2 linked regions of the Caenorhabditis elegans genome follow. The protein of the gene in region 2 purifies or fractionates together with the protein of the main gene of each other region. This does not show direct contact. Each region holds a gene or a part of one and is shown on either strand. Other genes may lie near its edges.

Region 1 (16,229 bases), on a different chromosome or scaffold from region 2:
GAAATTGGGAAGAAAAGTAAAGATATACCAATGATTGCAAAAAATGAGGTAGGCGGTTTTGTAAGTTTTTCATATTCAGTTTTCATTGGATTTCTTATAACCAAAGTTCTAATAAGAGCAATTGAAAATAAAAGCCACGTCGAGGATCTCTGCGAATGGTCCTTAAGCATGATAAGTATTCTATCCAAGAACACATTCCAATACCATTTTGACTGAAAACAGGGATCAAAAATGATTTCTATGGATGGGCCAAATGTTTGCTTGATTTTGAAGAGCATTGAGCACATGTCGAATATTGCAACGGAAGCCATAATAATGTTTATAGATGAACTCCGTAAGGGTTTTCGGATGAGAATCAAAAAATGAAATAAGTTTATGAAAATGCTTGCAGCGGAGAAATGAGGTTCGAAGTATAAAACCCGATCAACTGTTTTTCTGAAAAATGAAACAATAATCATGTTTAAAAAATTTTAGCTTACAAAAGTTGGGTTTCAAATTTGCATAAAGAAATTGCCGTGGCAGTTTTAAATTTTGGATAGTTTCCCTCCAAATCATCACAGGTGGACATTGATTTTGGCTAGTCAATTTTCTGAGTTTATTGCATTTATTTACTTGACTTCTACAACAAGAAATAAAACGATTAGATTAACAAAAAATGAGTAATATATAGAAACAAAAAATATTCAGACTGGAAGTAAATTCTCAAAACGTATAGCCGTAATGACGACAGTCTGAATTCTGTAATTTCGTTTTAGTTGTTGTGTGTCTTGAAAAGGAAATTTGAGAAAAGTTAGGTCTTAATTAATTAAAAATATTGTTACTCACATAATACCTAATACGACAAACAAACCACAAAATTGACAAAAAAAACATGTTCAAAAGCTTAGTGAAATTATAGAAAACATTTATACTGAAATTCAGAAAACTATTGAACTAATGTGCCGGCCTAACTCGAGTGTTCATACTGACTCCAATCATCTGTTGTACCTGAAACTTAAAATTCCAAATCAAAAGTTTGCCTGTAAATCTACTTCTGGTTTTTGTCCGCAAAAAAACACCTTTTTTTAACTTCCATGCTATACTGTGACGACATAAGAATGCATATGAAAAAATGAGATATTGTTTTTGGCAACGAGAATTATTGAAGAAACAAATGAAATGTCATAAAGTATTATCCTGAAACAACGTTTGAGATTTTACTCAAGAATATAAAATTGCTACTGACCCGATTTCAGGAGTTTTTGAAAAGAAATAAGAAACAGAGATCGAAATTTATATTTAAAGGTGGTTTGGAGGCGCTCAGTGGTAGTTGTTTGAATATAATTACAATTTTCCAAACACGATAACTAAATCGTAAATACACAAATCAATAAAAATGAGTAAAATAAGGAAATGTGGGGTGATACACAACATGATTTTTTCATTCACTTTTGAAAAAAAAACCTTCATAAAGTTTTGGAGCCGACGTCAATCGTTGAAACACTAGTAATGATTTTGGAACAAGTTTAGTGTGAATATGAACAAAATTAATTGCGAGTTGAAGGATGTATCATGATAAACAATTGTCAAGCCTCTATTTCGTCATTACTATACCAGTAGCCAAACAATCCCCGTTCATCTGTAGAACCTGAATTTTCAGATTTAACTTTCAGATGTTCAACTTCGAAATCACTTTAGCTTTTGTTCTGCAGTATATGGATTTTTTAAGTTCCGCGCGATACTGTGAAGACATAAAAATGCATATAAAAAAGTGTGAAAAGGTATTGGCCACCAGAATTACACTGAATATATACGAAATTTCGTGCAAAATTATCCTGGAAATGATAAAATCTGAATTTTCGCTCAAGCTAATCTGCAGATTAAAAAAATTTACTTACATGAATCCGGGAGTTTCTGAAAAAAAGTAAGAAGCACCGATGGAAATTCCAATGGGAAATTGGGCGATGAAGAACACGCACGTCAAGAATAAAACCAGTTGAGTGTTTTTCGAGGAGTCGTTCACTTTTTTTGAAGAGAATAATCGTTTTCTATTCGCTTCGGCTTTCCAAAGTTCTTTCACAAGAAATACAGTCACAATTGGAAAGATGAAACAAGGTATTATCTGTAACGGGGATTAATGTTATATTGGGGAGCTGGGTGTCTTCTAACAGGCGTTTGACCGTAGAGCTCCGAGCAACTGAACTTTAGTTTCTGGAAATTGCGCAGCCGACATCGAACAAAGTCAGCGAAGGACCACTCGCGCCCGCATTTCTCTTGTCTTGGGGGCTCTCGCACACGCATATCACGGAATACTATTCACGCATTTTCAATTCAAGATATAGATTTTCTGGTTAGGATTGTGCTGACGTCACATTTTTCTGGACGGAAAATTCTCGCATTTTTTGTAGATCAAACGTAATGGGACATCTTGACACCACGCATGACCTGATATTATAGTAAAACTTGTTTATATTTTTATGAAGTTGCAAAAAGTGGTTTTACTAAGTTTTTGCAATCTTTTTGAAAGTTGTCGATCAAGAAATTTTTTTTTATTCTTATGGTCAGCTTATGTTTCAATTACTAATATTCAAACATTGAAGGGGTCGCAACAGTGCTGCAGTTTTTTAAAAAAAGACGAAAACGCAGTATAAATTTTGGCACCGTAGGAGTGGTTTTTAAAAGTTTTCCCACTGGCACAACACAAATATCAATTTTTTAAACGTTTTTGTTGACCTTTTTCCTAATTCAAACTAACCGTAGAGACCACTGAATTGATTAAAGTATATATTTTCAGAATCATGCCATCATTCTGTTTGTAAGACGCAGATATGTCCAGATAATAAAAAAGTACTCCATCCGGATCACACGAAGATGTGTGGTTTTGTGACGTTATATCAGACCCGAAAAAGGTGGCTATTGAAATTGGGCCGAAGATCAAATTTATACAAATCATTGTAAATAATGATGTTGGTGGGTGTGCAAGTCTTTCGTATTTTGGATTCATAGGATTTCGTATGACCAACGTTCTAATCAGTGCAATCGAGAATAGGAGCCATGTCGAAGATCGTTGGGAATGATCTTTGACAACTAGAAGGATTTTCTCCAAATATACGTTGAAATACCACTTTGACTGCATGCATGGATCAAATATGTATTCTATCGATGGACCATATGATTGTTTCATTCTGAAGAGCATTGAGCATATATCGAAAATTGAAATAAAAGCCATGATAATATTGATAGATGAACTCCGTAAAGGCTTTCGGATGAGAATCAAAAAATGAAAAATGTTTATGAAAATGCTTGCAATGGAGAGATAATGTTCATAGTTAAAAACGTGTCCTGATATCTTACTGAAAATGAAGCAAATTCATCTAACCATAAATATTTGCCAGAGCTTAAACTCACAAAAGTCGAGCCTCAAATTGGCATAGAAAAATTGCTGTGGCGTTATCATATCCTGGATAGTTTCTTTGGTAGGCATTGCATGTCGACATTTTGTTTCTGTTAGGGTTGCAATCCAAAAATCCAATTTTTGTTTAAAAGGTGGTGTAGTCGAATTTTTTTATTGCTTTATTAGACTCTGAAACGACCGAATTTCATAATGAAATTTCTTGAAAACTTCTCAAAAAAAAGTTATGACGGCTCAAAAAATAGCTTAAAACTGGTTAAAGTTTGAAATTTGACTTGTCAGCAGCTTGAAGCTGACTGTTTTGAAATCACCGTATATCACCAAAATTGGGTATACTAGTTAAATATCTTGAGTTTTCAACTCGATTAAGGCTTTTTAAAGTTGATGGACGGGAGATTTGATTTAAAAAAATGAAAAATTAACACTACATACTCAAAATTAGACTGTGATTTCAAAAAAGTTTTTAGTCTCCAGGTGCTGCAACATTGACAAGTCAGTCAAATTTCAAATTTTAACTAATTTTAGGTATTTTTTTGAGCCGTCATAGCTTTTTTTTTTGAGAAGTTTTCAGGAAGTTTCATTATGAAATTCGGTGTTTTCAGACAATTTTGAGTCTAATAAAACAACAAAAAAATTTGACTACACCACATTTAATGCCGGATGTAAGCCGTCCGGTTTTTTTAATTTCTCAGAGTGTAGTGGGGATAGTTGAAATTTTGTTTTTGTGAGTCAGGAATGCACAGTTAAATTAAATATTTTCACCAATTTAGTTGAAAATCAGAAATTTTTGGCCCAAGCTTTTGGAATAATTTGAAAGTTTTTGAATATACCTATGTATGTGAAACGGGTTTTCTCTGATATTTTGAACAAAGCGCGGAGCTGATAAAAACACAAGACAATGTTTTTCGTCGTGTTATTATGAATCAAAAGAAAAAATTCGAGAAAAATTAATTAGCTTCAAGAAAAAAAAACATAGATGTGTTAGAAATCTCTTTGATTCATCTCTAACCAGCTAGATCAAAACAAGATGTTCTACCGATAGTGAAAAAAATATTTATTCTTAAAACACTTGAATGAAAAGCTATACAAATCATAGTAAATTAACATACAATTGTAGCAATTTCCACTCGTCCTCGGCATTTTGTCAACCTCACTTTTTAAAAACTTGTCGCCTTGCAGAACTAGTGTGAGTGACTTGAATCACAGTTGCTTTGTTTTTCTAAATCTACAAAATGTTGCATCAAGCCTGAAACATACCCGAACCTGAGTCAAATATCCACAGGACACTACTTGCTTTGCAGCAATCCGATATTGAGATGACATGAAGAAGCAAACTATGCAGTGGGTAGCTGTATTTGCAGACAGGAGCAAGGAAAAATTGTAGTAGAAGTAACTCATTATTGATCTAAATCATAAAACAACCCGGTTAAAATTTAATAAAAGATATTTATCGCGCGGCCGACATTTCGCTGGTTGCATCAAAAACGGAGTTCCTCGATGCCTTAGTGGCGTCACTCAGGCAATGATCAACTCACTTCATTCCAGGAACATCGAGAAAAAACCAAGTTGCACCCAATGTTATTCCAAGCGGAAATTCGGCGATAAAAAACGTAATAGATATGTAGAATACCAGTCTAGTAGTTTTTCTAGAGTCATTTACATTTGCAGTGGAAGAAAGATTTTTTCGCTTTTTATCCGATTTCCAGAGCTCGACGACCAATAGGAAAGTTACTATCGGGAAGAGCACGCAGGGAATTATCTGGAATTTAGAAAACCCTGTAGTTAGGCCTAACGAAAAGAAATTACATTTGAAACGAGCCCGTTAACAATTGAAAATATTTTCAAATAATACCCATCATTATCCGCAAACATATCAGATATAACTGTGTAGTAAGTTGTTTCAGTTGAATTACAAAATGATGGCACAGAACTTTTCATTAGTTCATATTCCAGAGAAAAGACCACTGAAATCGGAAGACTCAAAAATAATATTCCGAGAATTGCAAAACCAGAGAGGGCAGGACCGGCTAATTTCTGGTAGCTTTGGTTCAGAGGATTTCTGATGACTAGTGTTCGAATAAGCGCGATGAGAAAGCAAAGCCACGTTGAACACCGCCGGGAATAGTCTTGGAGGACTTGAAACGAAGTTTCGATTATTACAAAAGTATATGTTTCACTTTGAAAACAATCGTAATAATCTCGGAGAAATCGCTCGACGATTTTCTTGAGTTCTGAAAAAAATGTGCAAATGTCTAAAATAGCCACTGCAGTCATAATGATATTTATGGAGGAGTTTCTCATAGATTTTCTTGTCAGAATTGCAGAATGTAAAATGTTTACCAAAATACAAGTAATTGAAATGATAGACTCATATGACAGAACTTTCTCTGTGAAAACTCTGAAACTCTCTGATCTTGAAATACCTTTCTTTTGATTTATATGACACTTACGCCAGATATCTTTCGATTCGGTATAGCCGACGAGCAGTAGAATGCTCAAAGCCCGGAAAATCAATTTGAAGATATTTGTCACTAATCATTGTTGTAAAACTAAAAACTTTTTGATATCAAAAGGAATGGAAAAACAGAAAGCCTCCAGAAATTTAATTTTTTTTTTTGATTTATTGCGGAAGGAATTGAAGAACGAATATTTTACTCAAAAGCTGGAACTAAAAAAAGGGAATTGTCTCAGAAAAATATATTATTAAATCGAAGACGGAAGCTGCAGAAATGATAATTATCCCTTAATTTTCAGGCTACGTTCAGACATCACTTTGAAGCATGGCCGGGTGGCAATTGCTCCAGCAATGGCCAAAGTTGTCAAAAATTTCCGATTTCAGCACATCCCTGTTGTGATATTTGAGCATTCTACTGCTCTTCGGCTTTGTTGATTTGTAGGAAAAAAGGTAAGGTTTGTAAAAAAACATAGTTTATTAAAAAAACTCCTTTTATGAAAAAATTATTTGATAACAATTTGAGTAATTACCACAGAATCTATATCGATATTTTTCAAGGGTTGTTTTGGTTTAGATTTCCAGAAATATGACAAAACGAACTGCCGATAAGGATGATGTATAATGAGTACAGCGACTGTAGATATTAAGCCATGAATTGAAGCATGAAGAATTGACAAATTGGTTAATGCTGGAAAATTGGTTTTTTGTTTAAATTTACCCACAAATTTATTCCGAACCTTGATTATAATAATTAAAATCAACAGCAAACCAAATATAAAAAGCGGTCGGTAACATGAACAAAACAGGAATTGAAATTTGTAGAAGTATGCTTGCCAAAAATTTAATTTGCAACTTTCTCGTGGTCTTTGAAGTAAACGAACGAATCGAGAAAAACAAATAGTAGACACAACATGTCAAGTAAAACAAAATTTGAATCACTTCTACCACAACTCCTAATACTGTGAAGGCAATTAAAAAATGAATATGATAATCATCGATGCACAATACAAAAATATTGGAAGCCGTGAAAAAGTCTTGAGAAGGACATGGAAGCCGTCTGAGAACTTTAAAGAGTGCTTCTTCCTGGTTTGCTGGTATGAAAAATGTGAATGATGCTGCGTAAAATACTCCAATCAGTAGTTTTGTTAGATAGTAAATAGTTTTCGTACTTTTCCGAGTTATTTTGAACTTGTTGAATGGAATTGCGTTATTCCGATTTTCTACCAATATTGTTGTAGATAATAACATGACTGAAACAATTTTTTGATTTTGTGAAATTGATTGCGCGCTGTGTGGTCTGACGCGATCTCGCTCAATGTCGGCTGCGGATTTTTAAAATGTATCTGATGGGAACTGTTCCAGCTTCCAGATTGCTACACTTCCGGATACCTAAACTTACAATTCAGACTCTGAAATGCCAGCCAAGCCTGAATTTTCGGTGGGACACCCAAAAAGTTCAACAAGCCAACTGAAAATCCCGTGAGAGTTGGAAGAAATATATATGGTGTCCCGAGGCAATTCAAAAACACATCCGCCAGACACGTCCTGAATATTTCTACATGTGCACAGTCAATGTTTGTGATGTGTATACTTACCAAACATGGAAATTGAAAAGCGGAATTCGATAGGTTGACATTTCCTTTGGGCTTTTGTATAGGATACAGTAACCTCCAAAAAGATAAACTGGAAGTGAAAATGCAGTCAAAAAATGGGAAGTGTAAGAAAAGTCTTGCCAAGAGCACAAAAACGTATCGCATCTTGGACATGTTGTATAGTTTGTTAAGTAATACTCACGGAGACTAGACATGCTCACACGATTTTCACAAAAAAAAACTGTGAAGTGAATAAACCCAGTTTTTTGGTCGATATGACAGTTGTTTTCTATAAACAAAAAATGACAAAAGTTTTCTGAGAACAGGATGACTCAGTTGGTTATCTCAACAAAAATAAAGACAACTAAGAACCTAGTGGAGTAAATGAGGAAGCACGGTCATTGTGAAACATCAAATACCCTCTGTTTCCAACCTACAAAAGCAATATACTCATATTTTCATAATTACTTCAATTTATTTTCATAATTACTCCAAAAACGAGGAAAAGGAAAAATGTTTTACAAGCTGTAAGTTTTGAAGTGAAATTGCCGAATACGTAATACTTCAGAATACGTTCGCCAAATTCGATAGAAACACAAATCCAGAATCAATAACATAACAGTTATACAAAAAAAATCTACCGCGTGTTAATCGTAAAAAAAAACGGTAGGGATTCCATGGGAGGCAGGCGCGGTAGGGCCTCAAGCCTGCTGCCGACCTGCCCGCAGGCCTCTCGCCTCATTTCTGTACCACATAGTGTGTAAGGTGGTTTTATCTCCGCGGCCGACACTTTTCAGGTTCCGCGCCGCACTACATGCAGGCGGCGCGAGGCAGGCGGAGGTAGCCGCAAGGCGGGCGCGGCTGGCATTTTGGCTCGGTTCGTGTCCAGTGGTGCAAATAGCCGACCCGATGTTTTCAAAAGTTGAATTTAATATATCGCGTTGGAACAGTATACATATATTAAAATTGACAATTTTTTTTCAATTTTTATACTTGATTTTTTTTTAAATTTTGGTTATGTATTCAATAATTTTTTAGAAATTCAATAGGTATTCAATTGGCTCCAAATATCCAATAATTTTTCAAGTAGCACTTCTTGATTTCTAATTATTTCCGTAGCACATTACTACTACTGCATCCTGTGAAAATTACCTGAACGCCTCATTTGTTGGGTTTTGTTTTTGAGTCAGTGTTTTTGAGCCCAGAGAAATTAAATTTTTGTTAAACTTAATTTTGTAAATCTGATCTAGTCTATCTCTGATTTTTACCGCGCTAGATTAATTCAATAAAATTGCAATACTCACATTTCCTGTATCTCGACGGAAGGTGGAATTTAGTTCTAGGCGTGTTCTGGTTGCTTGATCACCTCTCACTGTCAGTAAAATATACAAAATCGTCAGCGCTTTTTTGGTGCAACTTTTTATTTAATTTGGAGTATGTGTTCAAAATTACAAATATACCTTTTGAAAATATAGTTTTAAAAGTGACCAAATTTTACCAAATCTGGTAATCATCAACCTTAAATGTACCTAAATCGATTAAAAAACGCAAGATAATTAATTTGAACGCCCTTAATTAGAGTTTCCAACCGCTGCGACATTGGCAAGTCGGTCAAAATTCAAATTCTGACTAATGTTATGTCATTTTTGAGCCGCCATAATTTTTTTGAGAAGATTTCAAGAAGTTTCATCATGAAATTCGGCGTTTACCAACAATTTTGAGTCTAATAAAGCGATACAACAATTTCGACTGCACCACCTTTTCACGTTTAGCCATATTTCAAATAATTTCAGAGAATTCGTTCCGATCATAATGCACCAAGAGTATACAATATCATTTGCTAGTTTAGTGATTAATACCTTCCATATCATAATTCTCACCAGTGCTGCTATGCGGAACTCTTCCATAAATCTCATTATGGCTGCGGTTGCAATTTTTGACATATTCACATTGTTTCCAACTTTCGAGCGTTTCATTTCGGAATTTATCAGCTCGTTTCATCGCTGCTCACAACCACCTTCATACTCTGAAGCGTTCATGGAAATATGCAAAACGGAATTCAAAGATTTTTCGCAAAAATGCTCTACATGGCTATGCTTTTTTATTGCTCTCATTCGAACATTGGTAATCCGTAACCCTCTAAATCCAAAGTATGAGAAATTGGCACATTCAAAATTTTCGATTTATTTTATAATTGTAACAGTTCTGTTCAACATGCCATTCACCGTTTTAGGCTTTTTGAAATACGAAATAGTTGAAATGGACTTTTTGTACGAATGTGTTCGAGTTATAAATGGAAAACAATATGTTATGGTTATCTCCAAGTTTTACCGGCATAACAAAGTACTTATAGAATTTCTGGAGACGCTCAATTCTCTTATTTCCAAAGTGATTTCTTTTTTTTTAATGTTAAAGCAAAACCAATTTTTAAAAAAATTCAGATTAGTCCTTGTCTGCTTTTTCCGATAGTCACAATATTTTTAATTCGAGAAATCAAAAAAGCTGATGAAAACAGAAGAAAAATATCATCCTCTTCTTCGGCCAAGACTTCGGATTCTCGAAAAACATCTCGATTGGTGTTATACATGACAGTTATGTTCTTCGTTTCCGGTTTTCCATACAGTGTAAACTCTGTAGTTGGCTACTATTTTGTACATGTTCCCGGTATATGGTCAGTTTGATAATTTAATTTTTTATCACGTATAAAAACATATCTAAAATTTCAGGCAAATCCTACAACAGATCGGGTTCATGCTGTCACTTTTATTAAAGTTGAACACAATGTCCCATTTTGTTGTATGTCTTTGTATGTCACATCAATATCGGCAAACTGCAATTGGTATCTTATTCTGTGGACATTTAGCATTTCAAGATAAAAAGTCAAGTGTAGTTGGTGTATCTCAAAACAATTCTAGAAAAGCTTCATCAACAATTAAAGCAGTGTCCTAAAGTTTGATTGGTTGTTTTTCTTAATTTGGTTTATTTAGTTACACTTTAATAATAAAAGAAATAATAATAAAGACTTGATATCATACTCAAACAAATTACAATAAAAATGAATTACTCACTAATTTAAAGAAATTCAATAATAGTTGTCTGGAAAAATTTTCTAACTCTTTTTAAAGCTGAATATTGAGTTACCAGCCGTTCGCACGCGCACAGCGCGTGCTCCGACTGGCGTACGCTAAATTATTTTAAAAAATTGTCAAGTACTAAGACTTTTGTAAAGTTGGATTTTTTATTCTGGGGTTTTGCGGACCTTCAACAAAGTTCTAGTAGCTTACTAAATTTTCTAGATTTTTTTAGAACTTCTGAACGTTTTCTGATTTTTCTAGGCTTTACTCTAGAATTTTCCTGAATTTTCTAGAAAGTTGTAAAAGTTTCAAGGAAGGTCAAAAGACAAAAACTCACTTTTTCTTGAATTTGAGAATCCCTACAGCAATATTACAGTACCCCGACCATAACCTTCCACTAACCTCAAACCAATATCCCTTCAAAAGGTGAAAAATCAATTTTTCCAAACTACAGTAATCCTACAGTAATCCTACATTACTTCTACAGTAATTCTCTCAAATTTTCCAGAATGTTCTGGAACAGTCTAGAATTTTCCAGAAATTTCGTGAAATGTCTCGAACTCTCCCGATTTTTCCAGAAAGTTCTAGAACATCCCAGAATTTTCTCGAATTTTCTTGAAGGTTCTAGAATATTCCAGAATATTCCAAAACTTTCCAGAAGGTTCTAGAACATTCCAGCATTTTCTCAAAATTTACTGAAGGTTGTAGAACAATACGATTTTTCTAATATCCTTTCAACAGACGAAAAGTCAATTTTTCCCAAACTACAGTAATCCTACAGTAACCCTACAGTACCTCTACAGTACTACTACAGTACCCCGACAATATCCCACCACTAACCTAAAACCGATATCCCTTCAAAAGACGAAAAGTCAATTTTCCCCAAACTACAGTAATCCTACAGTAACCCTACAGTACCTCTACAGTACTACTACAGTACCGCGACCATATCCCACCATTAACCTAAAACCAATATCCCTTCAAAAGACGAAAAGTCAATTTTTCCCAAACTACAGTAATCCTACAGTAACCCTACATTACCTCTACAGTACTACTACAGTACCCCGACCATATCCCACCATTAACCTAAAACCAATATCCCTTCAAAAGACGAAAAGTCAATTTTTCCCAAACTACAGTAATCCTACAGTAACCCTACATTACCTCTACAGTACTACTACAGTACCCCGACCATATCCCACCACTAACCTAAAACCAATATCCCTTCAAAAGACGAAAAGTCAATTTTTCCCAAACTACAGTAATCCTACAGTAACCCTACAGTACCTCTACAGTACTACTACAGTACCCCGACCATATCCCCATACTAACCCCAACCCATAATAACTTCAAATGCCTGAAACACATTGTCTCTGAAAAGTGTGACGTCACAGACTACAAACTATGGACAGACCCACAATATTTTTTTATATATAAGTAATGATGTTTTGATATTTCTTATTGTTCATCAAGCAGACCGTTTAGCTTGAAAAGCGAATTTACAAAGTAGCCAATATTTTATTGGCTAGAAATGATCAAATATATTATCTTGTACTCAAAAAACGTTCAAGGTAGAGTAGCACCAGTGTGGAAAGTGTTGAAAACTACTCATATGGTGCCGAAATAACCGAAAATCGTAATAAAACTTTTCAAAAAATATTGGAAAATTTTTTATTTACCGTCAAAAAGTGACAATTAATCACTTTTTGCCACTCGTAATTTTGGAAGTTGTCCAAAAAATTTTCCTACATTTTTTATACTGTAGTTTTATTTTAGTTATTCGAATTAAAACATAGTAGGGGTCGGAACATGCGTCATTGCTTTGAATTTCCTCAAAAGCTCTTATTTTTCAAAACTTCGGCAATGTGCCAAAATTTTGACCGGAAATTTTGAAAAATCTAAAATTTTTCGTTTTGGATAAATTTTTTACAATTAATGGGAACATTTGAAAGTTTCTCAAAATGTTTTATAGCGGCTCGGAGTTTCAAAAGCCATTTTTCATTAAAATAAGTTATTGAATACTTGCTCCAGAAACTTTTTTTCGTGTCTAATGTTATTTTTTGAATTTTTGCGATCACGCGAATGATTTGAGACGTTTTCCCGAAAAAAACTTTATTCTGAGAAATAAGGAGAAAATATTTTTTGAGAGCATTCTGACGTTTATGTATTTTCAAAGCTGCTTAAAATTGTTTAACGGCGATGAAATGATTCGAGTTCCGCTTGACATTCTTGTTTTCTGAAAATTCGAATTTCAATGGTTCTGAAAACAATTTTTTGCATTACAGGGTAGATACATCCACAGGTGAAGACGTGAATAGTTGTACTTCGATACTGGGAGGACATAAATAGACAAACAAAGAGATGAGTGCATGTGTTCAATGTTATTAACATAGAGAAAATATATCCAAATTGATTAAGCATGTTGCTGAAAACTCAGTCCAGAAATAGGGATGCCTCTAGTACTCGACTCCCTGCCACCTTCGCCTGCCTCGCCTCGCGCCTCCTATATACTGCGGAATAGAAACAGAAAATGCCGGCCCCGGAGAAAGAATGGCGAGAGGCGGCCAGGCTTCAGGCAGGCGTCAGGACGTGAAACCACGCCTACCTTCCATAAAAGCCCTAGTTAGATAAAATATCTTATTGTCAATTGGTCACTTACTGTGCACCGGGTGCAAGTATGAAGATCCCCGCACTACCCACGCTTAGTCCATATGGAAACTGGACTATGAAAAACATAATTGCTACGCATAACACTAGTCCAGTTTTTCCACGAGAATTCCTATTGTTTGGTACAGATGACATTTTTGCTTTCTTTTTACTGGTTTTGAATAAGTTCCATACAAGTAGGCATGTAACGATCAGAAGCAAAATGCAAGGAACTATCTGGAAATTAAGTTTTATTAAAGTGGTAATTTTGAGTGACCCAACATCTGAAATAGACGAGTTGAACAAATAAAAATATTCCATTATGACGCCGTCGTTTTTCATAAAAAGTTCAGACAAAACGTTAACAATATAAGTTTTGTTTGGAGCACAGGAATCACGAGGCAGGCTCTCAATAAATTCATTTTCAAGGAATTTAAACATTGAAATTGGGAACGTTGCTACACAAATACCAGTAATCACAATAATTGATGCTTTAGGTTTGCCGAGTGCCTCATACTTTGAGCTTAATGGATTCTGGATTATTAGTGTTCGAATAAAGGCAATAAAAAATATGAGCCATGTTGAGCATCTTCTTGAGTAATCCTTCACTACAGTGAGCAATGCTTTAGTTAGAACTAAACCATATGTGTCTAAGGACAAGCATTCAAAAAATATGTCCTTATACCGCTCAAATAATACTTCAATTGGTAGCAAAGAGGTAAAAATATCGAAAAATGCAACTGCCGCCATTAATATATTAATTGAAGATGTTCTCATTGGTTTCCTTGTGAGAATGAAAAAGTGAACTAGATTTATCAAAATACTTGATATTGATATTTCGTTCACATGGGCAAGAAGTTTGTCAGAAAATGGACTTAAGTGTTTAGTTTTTAGATAACTTTCAAATACGGGTAACTTACTAAAATGTTTTCTCGAATTTGCAAAGTGATTTTGCCGTCGATTTTTGAATTCCTTCGTAGTAGAATTCAAGATCAGTGCAATCCGATATATACATCTTGTTAATCCTGATAAGAAGTTAAAAATTGAAAAAAAATTTTTAAAGAGTTAAAAAATAATAAAAGAATAAGTTATGCCAAAAACAAAAATATCACGAAAAATGACAAAAAAATGTTCAATAAATTTCTGAACGACTTATCAGAGAGTGGCAGCTTAAGTCAGAACACCAGGATTTAATTCAGATTTACAAATTAGATTAGCATAAGAAATTGTGAAAATTGGTAGAAAGTGAATCAGAATAATGTGGTCATGATTGGTGAATGGGAAAATTAGTGTTTTTTAAAATTAATTTCTTTTTCGAAAAGTTATGACTTATAGTTTACTTATCGTAGGGTTTTTGACAGAGATGACCAAGTAACAATATTCCTGCTCGCAATAATTACTTTCTGAAGTTTCAATTAGACAAATGTTACACTTTATAATGAGAAAATTCAACAATGAAAAAAAAAAGATTGTTATGCAAAACACTTATTCAGTTTTGCTCCGAGAATTAATTTTTTTACTTACAGACACAATATTTGCCCTCTTTTTAGCGGTTTTCCACAAATTCATAATAAGTAATAATGTTACAATTGGGAGCAGTATACCCGAAATTATCTGAAATTTTTGTGATCAACAGAGAACATTGAATGCGAATTGATCATACATCTGACAAATCAAATGAGTTGAATAAGGAAAACATTTCTCCAGAAACCCGTTGTTTTCATTGATATAAAAAAGCTTTTTTTGTTTTGAGAACGATATCTTGTTTGCGTGGGATCACTGCTAATTGGAAAAATGGCTTCAAGCCCACCGGCTCATGTTTCATTTCCAAATTTTTTTTTCTCGTGGTTTTTCGAACTGAAAACGCAGCAAAATTGCTCAACTATATACTCAATTTTTATTTGAAGAAAAACAACAATTTGGGCTGATCTATTGTGCGCGGCAAACCCTAATTTCATTTTCACAGAAATCCTATAAATTTGAGCTTGATTGCCAGGGAACAGATATGATTTACGCGGACTGCAATGACCTCGATCGTTTCTACGGTGGTTTTCGGAAATCTATGGCAAAATCGTTATGCAATTTCGAACGAAATGTTGTGTGAGTTTTTAGAAACTGTTTGAGTTTTAGTCTAAGATGAATTATAGAACATTCTCGTTCTACATTACCGGATATGTCTATGAAGTATCAATTTTGAGTATCTTCATAAATGTTCTTCATTTATTTATTCTGACAAGAAAACCAATGAGAGCTTCTTCGATTAATATTTTAATGGCTGCAGTTGCATTGTTTGATATTCTGACATTTTTACTAGAAGTTCAACTTTTTCTGGAACAATAAAGTTATTTAATTTTCACATGCTTCCCGACAGATACCTACGGTCTAGTTTTAACCCGAGCTCTGTTTATTGTAGTGAAGGATTACTCGAGAAGATGCTCGACATGGCTTATCGTGTTTATTGCTTTGATTCGAACACTAATAATTCGGAATCCATTTTGCCCCAAGTATAGTTTGCTGGGAAAACCAAAAGCATCGCTTATTGTGATTGCTGGAATATGTGCAGCAAGTTTGCCAATTTCTATTTTTAAGTTTTTCGAAATCCAGTTCGTTTCTGTGACAATGAGTAAACATCATTGTGCTCCTAAAGGATCATATTATTTTATTGCTTCATCGGAACTTTTCCTGAAAAACAATGGATTTCTAGCAAAATATTTTTACCTTTTCAACTCATTTATGTCGGATGTATCTAACTATTCAAGATTAATTATTTTGTAATTAGTGAAATTTCAGTTAATTACGTGTATTCTACTTCCGATTATTTCTTGCTTACTTGTTATGGATTTATTGAGAACAAGTAGAAGCAGAGCAAGAATGTAAATCTGAATTAAATCCTGGTGTTCTGACTTAAGCTGCCACTCTCTGTTGTTTGTCTAATCATGTCCTTTCAATATCGGAGTACCACCCTGCACACGCTCTCATTTGGATATATCAGTTCGGTAATTTTGAGAATTTTTATCACAAGCATGTATCATCCTCAACAAATTTTAGAAAAAGAAAATTGCACCCAAGAC
Region 2 (16,834 bases):
TATTAATTCTCAAAGTATCATCGTTACATTGTTTGCCAATAAGTGAAAAAATGAAGCAATTTAAACGAGGAATCGAGAGGGATGGCACTGGGTAAGCTAAAACTTTATATATTAATTAAAAATACGTTTAATTAAACTTCATCTTTTGCAGATTCGTAGTTTTAATGGCGGAAGAGGCAGAGGATATGTGGCATATTTACAATTTAATTCGAATTGGTGATATCATAAAGGCTTCAACAATTCGAAAGGTAGACATTTATCTACAACGGAAATTTAATTTAAAAACTGTTCCTTTTCAGGTTGTCTCAGAAACTTCCACAGGAACTACATCCTCTCAGCGTGTTCATACAATGCTCACAGTTTCCGTCGAATCAATTGATTTTGATCCAGGAGCACAAGAACTTCATTTAAAAGGGCGAAACATTGAAGAAAACGACATAGTGAAACTTGGCGCTTACCATACAATCGATTTGGAGCCCAACAGAAAATTTACACTGCAAAAAACCGAATGGGACTCTATTGATTTAGGTGAGTCATTAAATTGTAAATGTCTTCAATAATAATGTTTCAGAACGACTAAACCTTGCATTGGATCCCGCTCAAGCTGCAGACGTGGCAGCTGTAGTGTTACACGAAGGACTTGCCAATGTTTGTCTCATAACTCCAGCCATGACGTTGACCAGAGCGAAAATTGACATGACTGTTCGTTTTTAGGGGTTTTTAGGGGACTCCAATTTTTATTTTTTTGCAGATTCCTAGGAAACGAAAAGGATTTACAAGTCAGCATGAAAAAGGTCTAGAAAAGTTTTACGAAGCAGTCAGTACGGCTTTCATGCGTCATGTTAATTTACAGGTTTGAAATTTACCTAAATTGAATTTTTTTTATTTGTATAATTTCAGGTAGTAAAATGTGTAATCGTGGCTAGCCGTGGATTTGTGAAAGACGCATTTATGCAGCATTTAATAGCACATGCAGATGCAAATGGGAAGAAATTTACAACGGAACAAAGGGCAAAATTCATGTTAACTCATTCTAGTAGTGGATTCAAACATGCATTGAAAGAAGTTTTAGAGACTCCTCAAGTTGCGTTGAGGTTAGCTGATACAAAGGTAAGTATTTAACTTGAAAATGTCAAAATCTATTGAAATAAAAAATTTGCAGGCGCAAGGAGAAGTCAAAGCGTTGAATCAATTTTTGGAATTAATGTCAACAGAACCTGATCGTGCATTTTATGGCTTCAAGTATGGTTTTTGCAAAGCTTTCCTATGAAAAATAATAATCGAAGAAAATATGTAAATTGGCCGGAAAACGTTTAAACTTTTTGTTGGAACTAACATATGTCGATTTCAGCTAGTGTACTCCCCGAGAAGACTGTGCAAATTGATTTGAGGCAATTTTCGCTAGTTCTTTCTCTGTTAATTACGATCATTAAAGATTTTCAACTGTAATTACAACGTTTTTCACTGAAAAAGCTATAAGTGAATCAAATTTTTGCCGGTATGAGTGTTAATATCAAAAATAATTAGTAAACTGGTGTAAACTCGACAGATTGTTGTGTTGGAGCTATTAAATTCGATAAAAACTACTAAAATTTCACAATTTTTCAGCCATGTGAATCGTGCAAATCAAGAGCTCGCCATCGAAACACTCCTTGTCGCTGATTCTCTATTCCGAGCCCAAGATATTGAGACACGACGAAAATACGTAAGACTTGTGGAAAGTGTTCGAGAACAGAACGGAAAAGTTCACATTTTCTCTTCAATGCACGTTTCTGGAGAACAACTCGCTCAGTTGACTGGATGTGCAGCTATTTTGAGATTTCCGATGCCTGATTTAGATGATGAGCCGATGGATGAAAATTGATTGTTTTTCTACATTTCTAGTTGTTTTTTTTTCTCTTTTTTTCTGAAAATGGGAATTTGTTTCGTTGTCCCTATTGCTCTGTACATTTTTTTTTGTTTTTTGAAATAAAAATTATTAAAACAATTTTTGTTCGAGAAAAAAAAGAAGATTGCACAGAAAAAGTAGAGAAAAATTGATAAAGCAACACCAAAAATTGAGAAAAGAGATGCATCGAGTGAGAGAGGGAGGGAAGATGAATTACAATCCGTAGCATACAATTTCAAAAGGTTAGAAAAATTAGTAAGAAAACAACTTATTACACAGAGTTCCGTGAGAATATTATGAATATCAAATAAAGCCAAATTGGGGACGGGATGGGGGTCATCAGAGTTTTTAATAGAGATTAAAATGTATTTTTTGTCTGGAAATGTTCTGGGAAAATATGTAAAATTACACATGAATTAATATGCGTCAGATGGGGCAATGGGGGAATGTGATGGATTATTCCGAGAATTGTGTAGAATTAAAATTACATTATTCGAAAATCCAGTGAGTATATAAACATAAAATTAATATGGAGCAAAACGTCGTTGAAGAGCAGCCGCAGCAGCAGCCGCTGGATGCAGAGCCTGTGAGTGATGATGGAAATTTGCTGGAACTGCTCCTTGCATTGATTGTTGTAAGTATTGCTCTCCAATTGAGCCTGCAGCGACTTGATTTTGTGATGATCCGGTGGTGGCTGTTGATGTTGGAATGCGCCCTGGCTGAGGAACACCTCGACCTGGAAAATTTCAGTTTTTAACGTTGGAAAAATTTTGGTTTTCCGATTTTTTTTTGTTAATTAAGGTAATTTCTCAACATGTTAGATTAAAATATAAACTAAAGTTTAGTTTTTATTTTTAGAAAAAAAAATCAAATTTTCAATAACTTTGGGTCATTTCTTAAGATTTTTCGGTTTACTCTGAAAAATCCAAAATTAAAAAAAAAACGTTCTCTCATCGAAAATCACAACTTTTTCGTTAAACCTAGTTTTCTTCTCCTTTTCGTACAATTTTCTAATTTTTTCCCGACGTTAACTTCGCAGATTTTTAGATTTTCAAAAAAAAAAACCGAAAATTTTCGTTTTTTACATTATAAAAATTGTAATTTATCAATTTTCAAACAAAAAAGTAAATATTTTTATCATCGAAATCAATAGCTATAAATAATCCATAGTTTTCTCCTTTCATTTATTTCAAATTTTTTCTCGATTTTTTAACGTTCAATTATTTTTGGAAAACATTAGAATTTTCAATAATTATTATTTCAAAAAAAAATCATTTCTCAATTTTTCGAAGAAATAACCTTGAGCAGCGGCAGCAGCAGCTTGAAGTTGCATTCTCTGTTGCTCAAATGCAATCAACGTGACCATTTGTGCTTGAGCAGCTTGTGCCTGTGCCTGAGCCATCGGATCCATTGCAAACTGTTGTTGATGTTGAATAAGCTGAGCCATCGATGTCGGTGGAGCCTGTGCTTGTGCCTGTTGCTGTTGTTGAAGACTTAAAAGGAATTGAGGATTCTGCATTTGTTGCTGTTGTTGTTGAGCAGCGAGCAGTGCCTGTTGATATTGAAGAGCTTGCAGTTGAGAGATGGCTGCTGCAGAAGTTGGTGGCATCATGAGTTGTTGATGACGTGGCACAAGGAATTGTTGAGCAAGAAGTTGCTGTTGCAGAAGAGCAGCACGTTGAATCTGTTGTTGTTGGGATATCAGAGCATTTTGAGCACTCATTGCGTCCACTCCAACTGAAATATTTTGAGATTGATATTCGAAAATGGAAAATCTCGGACCAAGGGTGTATATTTTTCGATTTGTGAAAAATCGAAAAATCAAAATTTTTTCGATTTTTCGAAAATAAGCTCCAAATTTTGATCCTTTTTCTTTTTAAAATTGTATGTTTTATTAAATACGATTAATATTGTAAACATAAAAAATTGGATTTTTTAATGTGTTCAGAAAACTTGGACAAAAATTTCGATGGCTCCTTTTTCCGATTTTCAATTTTTTCCAGAATCACGAAACACTATTTTCCTTACCTGACATCAAAGGCTTGGCCTTTTTATTGTGAACTCTCTGAGTAGCAAGATTCACTTCAACACGTCTCCCTTCAATCGTCGTTCCATTAAACTCGGCTCGAGCACGATCCGCATCATCTGGATTCTGCATTGTCACGAATCCAAATCCCTGGAATTTATTTATTAATTTTTTCTGAAAATGTTGTTTTAAAACAAACCTTAGAACCCCGTTCATTGAAGATAATCTCGACATCTACGACGGGCCCAACTTTTTCAAACATCGCAGTGAGATCTGGCTCACGATATTTGAACGGGATATTCGAGACGTGTAGGCGGCGTGGTCCATCTGTACTACTTGCTGAAAATATTTTTTCAAAAGTGTTCTTGGGATTTAAATGCCTAAAAAATTTTTTTAATATTATTTTTTTGATGATTTCCTTCTGTTTTTTTTTTCAAAAAAATTTCAAAAAAAAAAGAGAAATCAGAAGAAATTAATAAAAAACTAAAAAAGCAGTCAACCTTGGGGTGTGGGCAGTGTGCTTGTACGCATTCCAGAGGTTAATATATGTATGGCTAGACGAAAAAAAAGAAAACCACTATTGAAATTAAATAACTGCCACCGATATGAACATTATCCACAATTAAAATAGCACGCAATGATGTGTGTGCATTTATTTTAAATTATTATTACCTGGAACAATAAATTCTGAGAATTCGTATTTCGCAGGATAGTTGACGCGCAAAGTATCTCGTAGCGAAAACTACAGTAACCCTTTAAATTAATACTGTAGCGCTGGTGTCGATTTACGAGAATCATTTTAAATCGAAAAAATATTAAAAGAACACAAAAATGATAGAATAATTTGATATCGCTCCCACAGTTTGAACAGAAATTCATTTCGAAATCGTGCCCGTAAATCGACACCAGCGCTACAGTAGTCATTAAAGAATTACTGAAGTTATCGCTACGAGATATTTTGCTCGTCAAATATGTGGTGCAGTACGCATTCTCCGAATTCAAAGTTCCCGTAAATTATTTATTTTTTTCGCTCATTGCACACACATCATTGGGCACTTTTCATGCATTTCTCTGGTTTTGTTTAATAAAAAAATAGAACACAAATCTCTCTCAAGTCTTCCACGAAGACGTGCATTATCAAATAAGCTCTCTCTTTTTAATGCTAAAAAACGTAGGAAGAATAGAGAAGAACATTAGGAGTCTCTTACAGCTAGTGCTGCGATCATTCGGAGCCACTGGTCCAATCGTCAGTGGCTGCTGTTGCTTCTGTTGAGTTGGTGGTGGTAGTGGTTGCTGCTGCAGCTGTTCCGTTGATCCTCCAGATGTTTGAGATTGTGGAGCCTCTGGAGAGGATCCGATTTGATGTGGTCGGAGCACAGCGGCGGCAGCTCCATTTTGAGCAGCTACCATTTGCTGCTGGAGAGCCACTTTATAGTCGAAATCGTTTAATTTTTCCTGAAAACGGTAAAAGCAATGTCATTCACTGGGGAGGGAGCTCATGCGGTTTTGTCGACGAGGGGATGAGGAAGAATGATCTCCTGTTTCGTGCGGAATATGACGTCATCTGAATGATTGGTTGAACATGGATGATAGATGTAGACATTATTATTATTAAATGAAATCGGTTAGAAATGAAAGATTGAAAGAAAATTGGTTGAAATATATAGTAATCCTAGGGTATATTTAAAAAATGGAACCTGATAATATTTATGATTTTTTATGGAGAAAAAAAAATATAGAGATAGGAGTTGTCATCCAAAAATATGTTTCAAAAATTCTTGTGAGAAAAACCAGGTCTCGACGCGACCGAAAAGAACGCAGGGTATTTGGGGTACTGTAATTTCTCGCAATTTTCAAAGATGAATTATTTATTATGGGGGCGCAAATATTGCCCATTTCGAAATTGACGCCAATTTTAAACGCTCCGCCCCCAAACTATGGGTCTTATTAGGAATTTGGCGGAAAAACCATAAATTCAGACTTTCTAAATCGATAATTGAAAAAAGAGAAAAAGTACTTGAAAATTGGCGAAACTAATTCAAACATTTGAATTAACTATTTTGCCGCCAAAACGAAGCGAATATTTTTCTGCCTCCCAATAATATTAAAATTTCAATAGGGGGTTTTCACAATCCAGCAGTTTTTTATTCCAAAAAGCCATTTAAATGGACACAAAAGCGAGAAACATTGCATGCAATTTCATAAATTAGACTATCATGGGAAAGTAATTTTATTCTGCCTCAGATGTTCAATTGACTTTTTATTCAAATTTCGTAGATTCAATTTTCCTGACTAAAAATCCACATGCAAAATATTTATATATATATACCAGGTTCCATTTAACCATATTACAATTAGACACCTAGCGTGATTTGATTAGTATAAAAATGAAATTAAAAACTAGAAAATAAAATAAAAAACTGTGTTTCACTAAATACATTCAACCAGTGTATGTGTGTAGGTGTACGTGTGGGTGTATATCATTTCATCATCATCATCCATGCACAAAAAACCATTGAGAATTTGTTATTTGGAACAGATATTGGTTTTTTTTTCGAAAAAAAAAGATTTCTCCAATATTTTCCAGTCTTTTGCCACGTGGCAATGATAAGCTAGAGAGGGGCGTTTGGAAGAGGAGCAGACATTGGTTATTCAAACTGAAATTTCATTCACTAATTGGGTCTCGAGTGGAAAACTAGTGCACTTCCACTCGAGACCCAACTCGCGAAAAGATATAGATCGAAATTATAAGAAAGGCCACAAAACCGCATGCGCCGCTAGCCACGGAAGAAAAATGAGAGATACTTATAATATATATATATACTTGTTCAGAATATATATAATACCGGTGCAAACACCACAAAAATCAATGTTTTGGTTAAAATTATGTGCATAATATGGAAAAGATGAGGGGAGCGCTGGAAGAGAAAATAAAACGCTCGATGTTTTGTTTTTTTTAGTTGGAGAAGAAAATACCTGAAATTATATTGACTCACCACTGTTATTATTTCAGCCGCCGTTGTCATTTGTAGAGAAGATCTGGAACAACAAATATTTGGAAAAGCTTTTTTTTTTCGAAAAGATAGATTTTGAAGGAAGAAAAAAGCTTTAAAAAATCGATTGAGATTTCAAGAAAATATGTGGATTTTTCAAAATAAAAATATGTGCCCAAATGAACGAAAATTTGAGACTTTTAGTCAGTTTCTCAAAAAAAAACTGTATGACTGTTCAAAAATTTCGAAGCATACTTTTCCTTACAGCAGCTGAAATACAGCGACATGTAAAAATTGGAATTTTTGCAATTTTTTCGAAATTTTGAACATTTTTTTGGGAAGTCTCATTATAAGATTCGCTCAGTTGGGCACATTTAGAAATGAATTCCTAAAACAAAATGTACAAACCAAAGCTACTCGTAAAGAAAAACTGAAGTAACATCGGGAAAAAACCCGCTAAAAATGGATAGGAAGGATGATAGAGAATTAGAGAAAAAGAGCGATACACGCGCAACGAGCAGCTCACGAGGAGGCGGGTAACACAGAGGAATGTGGTGGCCTGGGTAAAGCTAGGCCATTGGATCCTGTGCAAAGATTTTTGTGAGCAAAAACTTATTTTTTTGAAGAAATTGTATTGGTTTTTGAAGTTATGAGAAGAAAAAGTCTAGAAACAGATTTTGAAAGGACTGAAATAACGTAAAAGACATTGGAAACTTAATCAAATTTCAATCTACAGTATCTACAGTCTTTCAAAAAAGTTCTGCCTTCAGAGGTAGCTACCAACACTTGAAACGGGGCCAAAACTGGTTGTTCAGTCTCAAAACGACCCTATTTTTCGATAGTTTTCCGTCTTTTTTTTGTGTCATCTTGCCTCATTTTCCTCACTTCCTCTCTCTTTCTCCTCAGTGTTCAAGGTCTTTTCTTTGTTGTGACACGGGAACTAATTTTGATGTGAAGTGATCGGATAAATATTTTGTCATATCAGGAATGAATAGGTGCAAATTACGAATATTTCTTTTCAATGTTTTTTAGGCATAATAGCGAGGAAAAACTAGAAAACACGCTTAAAAATGATGAAGAAGGAAGAAAAATCAGAAAAGACAAACAAATAATTACAGTGATCAAAGGTGCATGCATACAATTTCCAGGTGGGTCTCGCAGCGGTAGGTAATCCAATAAATTTAATAAATATTGCGAAAATGAAGCATTTCGATGCCGATTTCTCTCTAAGAATCGATTCGAATCTACTTTTTTGTTTAAAAGAAGCACAAAAACTCCACTTTTCCTGTGAAAGGGATTAGTACTCGCACTTGAAGAGAAACAAAAAAGTGGAAATAGTGAGTCCTTATTGTGAGAAAATTGAAAAATGGAAAACGAGAAAATGAAAAACCGGGAGGAGAATAGGGAGCTGGAGCGTTGCGAAAATAAACGAGGAGAAAGTGAGGGGGAAAAATGGAAAATAAAAAGACAGATGGGCACCATGTGGCGGCGGAGAATGACCGATTCAATCGATTTTTTAATTGGTTAGTCGTAGAAAAAGTGAGTGAGAGCAGAGGCTATTAAACCAGGATTGAGCGTCTTAAGCTCAATGAGTTCAGCACTTTTTCAATCTGACAACTTTTATATCGAATTTTGTGTTTAGACATATTTTGTATCGTACTAAAGTATTATTCAACAAAAAAAAAACTACAATTTAAAGATCGTCTGAATTTCGAGAAATACGATTTTCTAAAAACGAAAGTAGGGGCCACGTGGTGTGAATCAGTGCATGTCTCTGTATATTTGTGCTATGAAAAAGAAGAGAAGGCGGTACGGGTGGGAACGAAAGATGGATTGTTTGTTTAGACATTTTCACACCATATTCCCTTGAATAATATAAACAAATGTACTGCTTGATGTGAAGAGGCTGCGAGTCTTTTTAATGTAGTCCAGGCAAATAACGAAGGAGTTCCTGCACAAAATGATCAAATCTCAAAAATGTATGGCTGTTTTTATTAAATATACAAATGGGGGAATTGGAATCAATGAGCTTTGGGGGAGGGAAATTTAATAAGGGTAAATAATAATACGAAAGTTGGGGTTGTACAAAAGGAAAAGAGGAAAAGAAGAAAATACCAGAGAGGAAATGGAGAAATTTGGAGAGATTTTTGGGGAGAAAATAATAACGAGGGAAATTCACTAGGACACTACAATAACGATACACCAGATATAAATTAATTTTGGAAGAAATTTAGGTCGATTGAATTTTCGTCGAAAGTTTCAAAGTTCCAGTTTCCGGGGTCGGTAAGCAGCTCGTCGGTTCCAGTTCCAGTTTCGGTTCCACATCCCAAAAGCTCATCATCCCAGTCAGTGCTCGAGCTGCTCATCGACGGGGACATGGCTAGGGAATTCGGCGAAAGTGTTTCACGCGTTTCTGAAGATGTGTACATGGATCCGCTTGAACAAGACGCTGCATAACCGTCTGCTCCTTCCTCAATGTAGCCAGCAACGAATCGATCGAACTCTCCGCTTGGGCTCTGGAAATTTATGAAGTTAATACATAAACATTAGGAAGTTTCTAATTATCTTACCTTGAGATGTTCGAGGATTTGTTCGAGGTGTCCATCTTCTTGTTGCGATCCATGTGGTTGCATAGAATCGAGATGATAGTTAGATACATATCCACACTGATTGTGTTGTTCTTCTTGGAATCCATACGACGGAGTTGGTTGCTGATGTTGTTGTTGATGGAGGTGGATCGGGCCTGTTCCCACTGCTGAGGCTCATTAATGAATGCTGCTGATTCAAAGGCACGGCGATCCTCTCCTCCGACGACGACAACTGGTGCAACCTCACCGACGACTTCTTCTTCGTAGACGACGTTCTGGTAGATGCATGCATCATTGCTGTTCATCAAGTTTTCGTTGTTCTCTTCCATATACATGACGGACTCGTTCTGCTGGTTCATAAGATTTTTATTTTGACGGCGAAGACGTTCGTTTTCAGCGCGGAGCCGGCGGTTCTCCTCCACCAGATCGCGCATCACATCCTCGATCTTTGCTGATCTTTCCTACAAGAATTAAACTTATTTTCAGGGTTCGATAAACATTCAGCACTAACCTTCTTTTTGTCTCTAGCATTTTGGGCTGCGACTCGATTTTTAAGTTTCCGACGATCCATTTTCTCCTCCTGACTCAAATGATTCAGTCGTTCTCTTTTGCGTGGCCCAGATGGTCCCATATCATCGCCAAGAAGTTGTGCGACAACTTGTTCTGTTGGAAGTGCACGCTTGGGAGCCATTCTCTGAGGCTGTGGCGCTGCCACGTGGCGTGCTGGGAGCACATAAATACGTTTTGGATAGTTGCTCATTGTATAGTTCTTCAGTGTAGCGAATATGGGGCTAAAGCCCAGGAATTTATGAAGAAAAAGACTTCTTCTGCTTCTGCGATTGTTGTGATGAGGAAAGTGAGGGTATATGCTAAAGCAACGTCGACAAACGCGTCGCGACCGCAACGCGGCCACGCCTGCAACGAGAAAACGTGTGACGGAGAGAGAAATGAGACATTTTGTTGTTGGCAAAATGTCTATTGCGAAATATCAATGGGAAATGACGTCAAGAGGGAGCTGAGTTGGAACTCGATTGTTTGCCGGAAACGACATGATAAGAATGAAAGTATCATATCAATCTAAAAATTACTGTCTCAAAATTGTAATCAATTCGTAAACAAGCACTATTGAAGTATTGAGGAATATTGAGAAACTCATGAAATTTCGTATGAAAGTATGGAAAATTTGCAATTAAAGAGTACAAAATTTCATAAATGCTAAAAAAAATCATCTCAAAGTTATACTGCTCGCCAAATAAATTTGTGCTGCGAATCTGCTTACAGCGTTAATAAGAAAAAATAAATTTAAAATCAAACTCTAGCCATAAATATTTTATTTATATTTTTCAATCAAGAGCAAAACTAGTAATTTATCTAGAAATTGAGTACAGAACACTTAAAGTTTTGCTAAATTACACCATAAAAAAGAAAAAAAGAGATCTGATGGATCGACATTAGAAAATAGAGGAGAAATTAAATGTTATCAACAATCAATAAATATCGAAACTAACTCTGGAAAGTGAAATTTAAAAAATTTAAAAGACCCATTCTTCTTGTGAAATAGTTTTAAAAAAATCTTGATAGGGATCATTTGAACCATCCAAGGAGACCACCCGATGATTTAGATGGGGAAACTTTCTTGTTATACGGTTCTTGAGACTTCTGGAGAACTTCATTGTAGAGCTCTTCACGATGTGCCAGCGCTTTCAGAATTGTGTCGTCTTGTACCTGAAAATTAAATTTTTGATTAAAACAAATATTCTTTCAGCTTCCGAAGTAAGTAATCTTACCTTCAACTTCGCCACAGCTTCATCATATTTTCTCTTAGCTTCTGTGAATTCTCTTTGGAAATCCAGCATTTCTTTTTTAATAATAGAAATCGATTTCTCCGTATCCTGAATCTCATTCAGTTGCTCGACAGCAGAAGGTTCCACAGGAAGGAAGGTTATTGAATATTTGACATCGCTTATCCAATTATCACCATAAACTGCAATATAATGCTTCCGTGTCTCCAAAAGTGTCGCAGTTTGCATCTCAAAACTATCCAAATAATGAAAAGCCAATGGAGTTTCCTTATCCTCCAAATGATATTTCATTGCATTGAATTCTTGAATATTGGCCACATTGTACGGTACAAAGAACATGTCGGCTTGAGTTCCGGCTTTTCCTCGTTTCCCACTTTCTTGGATCATTCGGACACCTCCTTCTTTATCGAATAACACTAACTTGAATTTACTAGATGAACTTTTACAAATGATAGCAACTCCATTCTTTCGATGTTCTTCCTGTATGTTAATTTCGTAGAAGTGGGCGTGCTGAAATTAATTTTAATATTAGTTTTAGTAGTATTTATAAAATTAAATTTTAAAAAAATTAAACTTAAAATCCATCCGAATTTTTCGAATATTAAATTTTCACATTTCATGGTACAACAAATTTCTCACCTGCTTGCTCACAGAAGAAGTTACAGTCTCCCCGGGAGGGAGTTGTCGTGCCTGAACATCACATTCTTGTCCCATACAAATGTGACGTGCCTGTGCAAGAACTTTTGGGACAATTTGTGTGGGAATAGGTACTCCAAGCTTGCTGAAGAGTGCTCCAAAGACACGACCTGCAATTATTTATATAATTAGAAAAAAAAAGTCCCTGGAATTTTCTGGGTTAACTTTTTCAGTTGTTCTTGGAGAAATCAACGTTTTTAAATGTTATTCTTGAAAATTTCTCACCAACTCCTCCCATTTCGGAGACATCAAATCCTTCAAAGTCCAATTGATTTTCTGATGGACCACTAACATCGTACTGTCTTCGCTTATTTGGATCAGATAAAACTGAATATGCGATTGAAACTTTCTTGAACTCTTCCTGAGCATGAGCATCATTTGGATTACGATCTGGATGGTATTTAAGAGCCAATTTTCGATACGCTGATTTGATTTCTGCCTCGGACGCCTGGAAAATGAATTAATTTCTATTAATTTCGATGATAGGGAGATTAATTTCATTTAAAATACTAAATATATCTTAAACGTTTCCTGGAAATTTCCTGGAGACGAAATATTGCTTTCTTGCATGCCTTCAGATGTCATCCGAAAAAATTAATTACCATTTTCTCTACTCCAAGCAGCTGATAAAAGTCCATTTCCGAAACCTTTGGTTGATCTCCTGGAGTTGTTGCTTTTGACATGGTCGCCGATGTTGCTTCAAAAAATAAAAAATAAAAAATAGTGGAAAAAAGGGAAAAGGAAGGGTGATTCATTTACTTCTTTCGCAATAGGGCAAACATTCGTTTATGTCTGCGTCTCTTTGGAAAGTATTGGAGAAATGTAACGAGAAAAGCCATACATTTTAGGCAGGAAAGATGGAATAGCACAGAGACAGAATCAATATAAAACACGCTCAATTTTGACAATTAGTCGTTCGCTGCTCATGGAAATTAATTGCTGAGAATTAAACAATTATAAATCTTACCCTGTGATGAACGTCTTTTTCCAAACAGCAAAACCATGAAGAAACGATTAAAATATCGAAAAATGTGAATAATTTGGAAAGAGAAAATATATTTTTTTGAAAATATTTCAAATAAAAAAGTTCCGGGTACGGTCGACAATCTGTGCAAACACGCTGCACACAACAAGATCTACCGTAGTCTGAGAAAAAAGTTTCGCTTTGTTTTTGTCATTCTTTTTTTTTTTTCATTTTTTCGCTTTTTCTGGTTTTTTGAAATATTTTTTGTCTTAATTATTTTTTTACACTGATATTAATACGAAGGAACGCTTTAAAACTCTAATTTGATTCGTAAATGAGAAATTTAGCTGTAGAACTCTTTGACTCTCCAGTGTGAGATTATTTACTGAATTTTGTGAGATTAAAAAAGTGTATTGGAATACACATTTCAGCATTATTCAAGTAGATTTGAGTATATATTCATGTAAACTCACAATTCTGTTTTCGGATTGACATTCGTAACATTTCCGCGACTTTATGCATGTTTTTGGATATTCCGAATTATTTTTGTGTAGAATATAAATGATGAGAGAGTTGCACAGTCGGTCGCCAAAAAAACACATATTTTGTTGGAAGAATATGCCACGCGCTTTTCCCTTTTGTTATCATTCTTTTTTTTTGCCGATTTCCACAGTTATATTTTTCGATTCGCGTTCCTCTCTTTTTCTGTTGGTCCATCCAATTTCCGTCTATTCTGACTAATCAAACGATCTCAACTCAATCAAAACATCAGTCTCATTGTCTATTATTAGTGGGAATTCGAGATTTCTTGTATGATGTGAGCTTGCACACACACAACAGCTCATAATAGTGCCTGGGGAGGCGGAGAAGCGAGAAACGGTGCTATTTGATATGGAGGTTCCGGAAGGGATGACGACGCTGAGTCGAAATCCCGCAGACGAGACTCTTCTAGATCATTCTGTCCGTTTCGTCGTCTTCCGAGATGGTCTGCCCGTCAAGTGTAGCCTTGTCAGTTTTATTCACTATTCTTGTTGCCAATTGTAAGTTATAAACTCACGCGTCATCGTGGTGTTTCTGTTAATAGAGATCTTTAAAAAAAAAAGCCAAATAACGCTTTGATTTAAGATAAATATCAGAATTTCGAACGATTCTGTTTCTTTTTGAACAAATATTGTCGCTATTTAAGACTAGATCTGAAAGCCATCGAATAGAAAGATTTCCCTCAACTTCTATGATTTGTGACTTTGGTTTTGTGAAGTGTGGTGTCAAACCAAATGGCTCAAGTATTGTGATGAGTCACAAGCTGCAGCACGCTCTGTTTGACTACAAAAAAGCCAAAAGAGTCAATTTCAAAAACTTCCTCTCCTCGCCTACCAGAAATATGAGAAGCTATCGTCTTTATGAACGTTCTTTCACTTTTCTTTGTGTATATGCAACTGGCATTTATCTTTCGGATGGCAAAAGATAATCGGAGATAACGATTGAAACCGAAAGTAGGTCGGCACCTGGAACGGAAGGTGATGATAATTTATGATTCACTAGGTTTTAGATGTTTCCCAGTCAGTTTTAGAAAAGGCTTAAGCTTGATCAGTACCAATTAATAACAATACTCTGTTCAGCACTTCGTTGTGAAGCAACTTCCGTGGTGACATGCATGTTGTGCACAGTTGTCAGTGAGTCTCTTGAAAGAGAGATGACACCTACTGCAACAGTTAATTCAATGTTCAAAAAGTGCGATAAAATGGGACTCATGGAGCCTGTTTGTGTGCAATTCGTGTCCGAGAATGTGAAGGAAATGTTTCAACGTGTTCGACAAGGTATTCCATCAACAAGTGTCTGTCAGGCGTTGCGATTCTGTGACCTACAGTAATCCTTTGAGTGGAGGAAATGCATTTTGTAATAAAGTCATTTGAAATGTTTATTTGATGTCGTGCATATCGTTTCTGTGGTTATATGAAGTGGAAACATACGTTTTCATTGTTGTCGGCCGTTTTTAAAAGTGAAAAAATATTTATTTACAATATTGCAGAGAATTCGAATTGCAGCAAATTGTCAATTATCCCTGAGATCCTCAATAACAAAAAATAAATAATAATTTTAACAAAAATAGTGAAATTCTTAGTTAATTAAGCCCACTTGACGAGGAAGTTTCTTTTTGCTTTTTTTTTTCGATCGTCAATCAGGTCCTCATCATCTCCTAACTTTGATTTTTTAATCTCAGTTGGTTCAACATCAACATCATCAGAAGTGACTGCCTCAGAAGTTCCAGATTTTGTGTCATCAGATTTTGATAGTTTTTCCAAATCTTCCAGCTCCAAATCTTCCAATGGATCCTTCTTGTTGATCTTTGCTTCTCCACTCTTTCCATTCTCCTCATCGCTGTCTTCATATGAATCCTCGTCTTCATCATCGTTATAACCCCCGCATCCGGTGCCACTTCCACCTCCACATCCTCCACTGTTTCCATAACCAGCATAGCTACCGTAACCCTGTGGATATCCGCCACCACACCCACCTCCTCCACAGCCGGAACCGATTCCTGGATGAGTACGGTAGATACTGTAGTGGTCGGTGTATGGCAGATGTGGATAACGGTAGGTTGCGAATGTGTACTGTGGTGGATATACATATGTCATTCCTGGACGAAGAAGATATCTTCTTGGAAGCCTATCCCATGGGTAATGCTGGAAGAAATACCCTCTTCTATAGGCGACAACTGGCCTCTTTGTGGTAGTTTGAACGGGATTCTGATTGCGTCCAATCGGATTTGGGTTCAAAAGTGGTGCACGAGTTGGAATATCGAATTTCGGTGCGATTGTTGAGTAGGTTACTTGTTTCAAATTATGGTTGGCACCAGCATTCTTGACCGGTTGAGATGAAAAATCAGAATAATCGTCACCAACATTATCCTGTCTTGCCTAAAAATTATCCATATTCGTAGGTACGAATTGTCCAAAGTAACTCACCTTTCTTTCAGCCAACGTGACCCCACAAATCGCCGCTAGAAAAATAATAGATCTCCTCATCTAGAAGTGTGTAAGATTGTTAAAATCGGTCAATCTCCATCGTCGTTAAATACTCCCAAAATCGGGTTGACTAGAAGTGTAACAAAACCTTCAAATAGCTGGACATCATCTGCCTCAAACAGATCTGGTTCTTGGCATATCGGGTAAAATTATATAAGTTTGTTGCGTAGTGATATACAACAAGGTGAGAAAGTGATGAAGACGACGGACGTCCATGGTTGCGCAATAAGTGAAATTAGAACTGGAAATTTTCGGAGATAAGGAATGTTTTTTTTTGTATATTGCGAATTAGGATATATCATGTTTTGCCTGGGTTAATCAGTAGTATCACTATGAAAATATATGATCTATTGTGTACCTTCTATTAAGAAGATGTTTAAATTTTTTGGTATTAAAATTTTGGTTAAAAAACAATTAAAAATTGGGAGAATTTCAGAAGATTTATGGAAACATATTTAGTTAAATATGGCTATTTTACTAAAATCTAGATTTCGGAACATTCTGCTTTGAGAAATTTAGATGAATTAATACAAATCGAGTCAAGTTCGTCCAGCGAAGAACCTATCTCAAGTCACTATTAAAGTCTGTCAGCCGGTATTTATAGCAAGGAGAAAGTGATGTTGAGTGTAATCCCACTTGTTGTAATCTGACCAATGTGTGTGTCCAACTTGATAAATTGGCCTTCATTGGATATGGAAAAGGAATAATTTTATGAACTAAGTATATTTTGCAAAATTCCATTCAAAAGTAGAAACCGTACTTGATTCGTTAAGAGCAAAACGGAGCATTTACGAATTTAATTCCAAGTAATATGGTGCAGTGTGACCTATTCCTGAAATCAGTCGAATATG

Evidence for each region.
Region 1: the proteins of xbp-1 (region 2) and srh-87 fractionate together in Caenorhabditis elegans (co-fractionation; one large-scale study listed by BioGRID). This does not show direct contact.

Annotation. Positions count from the first base shown.
Region 1 is NC_003283.11:2,938,030-2,954,258, forward strand, and holds srh-87 (Serpentine Receptor, class H), read right to left. Parts: upstream 7,674-16,229; 5' UTR 7,654-7,673; coding exon 7,442-7,653; intron 7,392-7,441; coding exon 7,246-7,391; intron 7,097-7,245; coding exon 6,584-7,096; intron 6,535-6,583; coding exon 6,350-6,534; 3' UTR 6,348-6,349; downstream 1-6,347. Other genes in the region: srw-141 (G-protein coupled receptors family 1 profile domain-containing protein), read right to left, coding at 1-435, 480-568; srw-143 (G-protein coupled receptors family 1 profile domain-containing protein), read right to left, coding at 1,574-1,627, 1,673-1,814, 1,878-2,101, 2,735-3,332, 3,388-3,476; srw-137 (G-protein coupled receptors family 1 profile domain-containing protein), read right to left, coding at 4,542-4,610, 4,655-4,796, 4,927-5,150, 5,198-5,789, 5,842-5,930; srw-122 (G-protein coupled receptors family 1 profile domain-containing protein), read right to left, coding at 12,683-12,748, 12,796-12,937, 13,172-13,395, 13,441-14,032, 14,079-14,173.
Region 2 is NC_003281.10:4,187,404-4,204,237, reverse strand, and holds xbp-1 (X-box-binding protein 1), read right to left. Parts: upstream 10,430-16,834; 5' UTR 10,256-10,429; coding exon 10,007-10,255; intron 9,957-10,006; coding exon 9,478-9,956; intron 9,424-9,477; coding exon 9,288-9,423; 3' UTR 8,880-9,287; downstream 1-8,879. Other genes in the region: pelo-1 (Protein pelota homolog), read left to right, coding at 51-91, 152-248, 300-528, 572-702, 752-853, 901-1,110, 1,163-1,242, 1,609-1,864; asd-1 (RRM domain-containing protein), read right to left, coding at 2,413-2,624, 3,188-3,625, 3,917-4,064, 4,114-4,253, 5,123-5,369, 6,911-6,940; dnj-16 (J domain-containing protein), read right to left, coding at 11,080-11,220, 11,283-11,807, 11,937-12,103, 12,219-12,441, 12,596-12,690, 12,961-12,997; ssp-28 (Saposin B-type domain-containing protein), read left to right, coding at 13,940-13,997, 14,577-14,827; R74.2 (FIP (Fungus-Induced Protein) Related), read right to left, coding at 15,084-15,875, 15,924-15,983. UniProt on the Caenorhabditis elegans protein: Required for transcriptional regulation of the unfolded protein response (UPR) in the endoplasmic reticulum (ER) under stressed conditions, acting downstream of ire-1, and also maintaining ER homeostasis via a negative feedback loop, in parallel with ER kinase pek-1.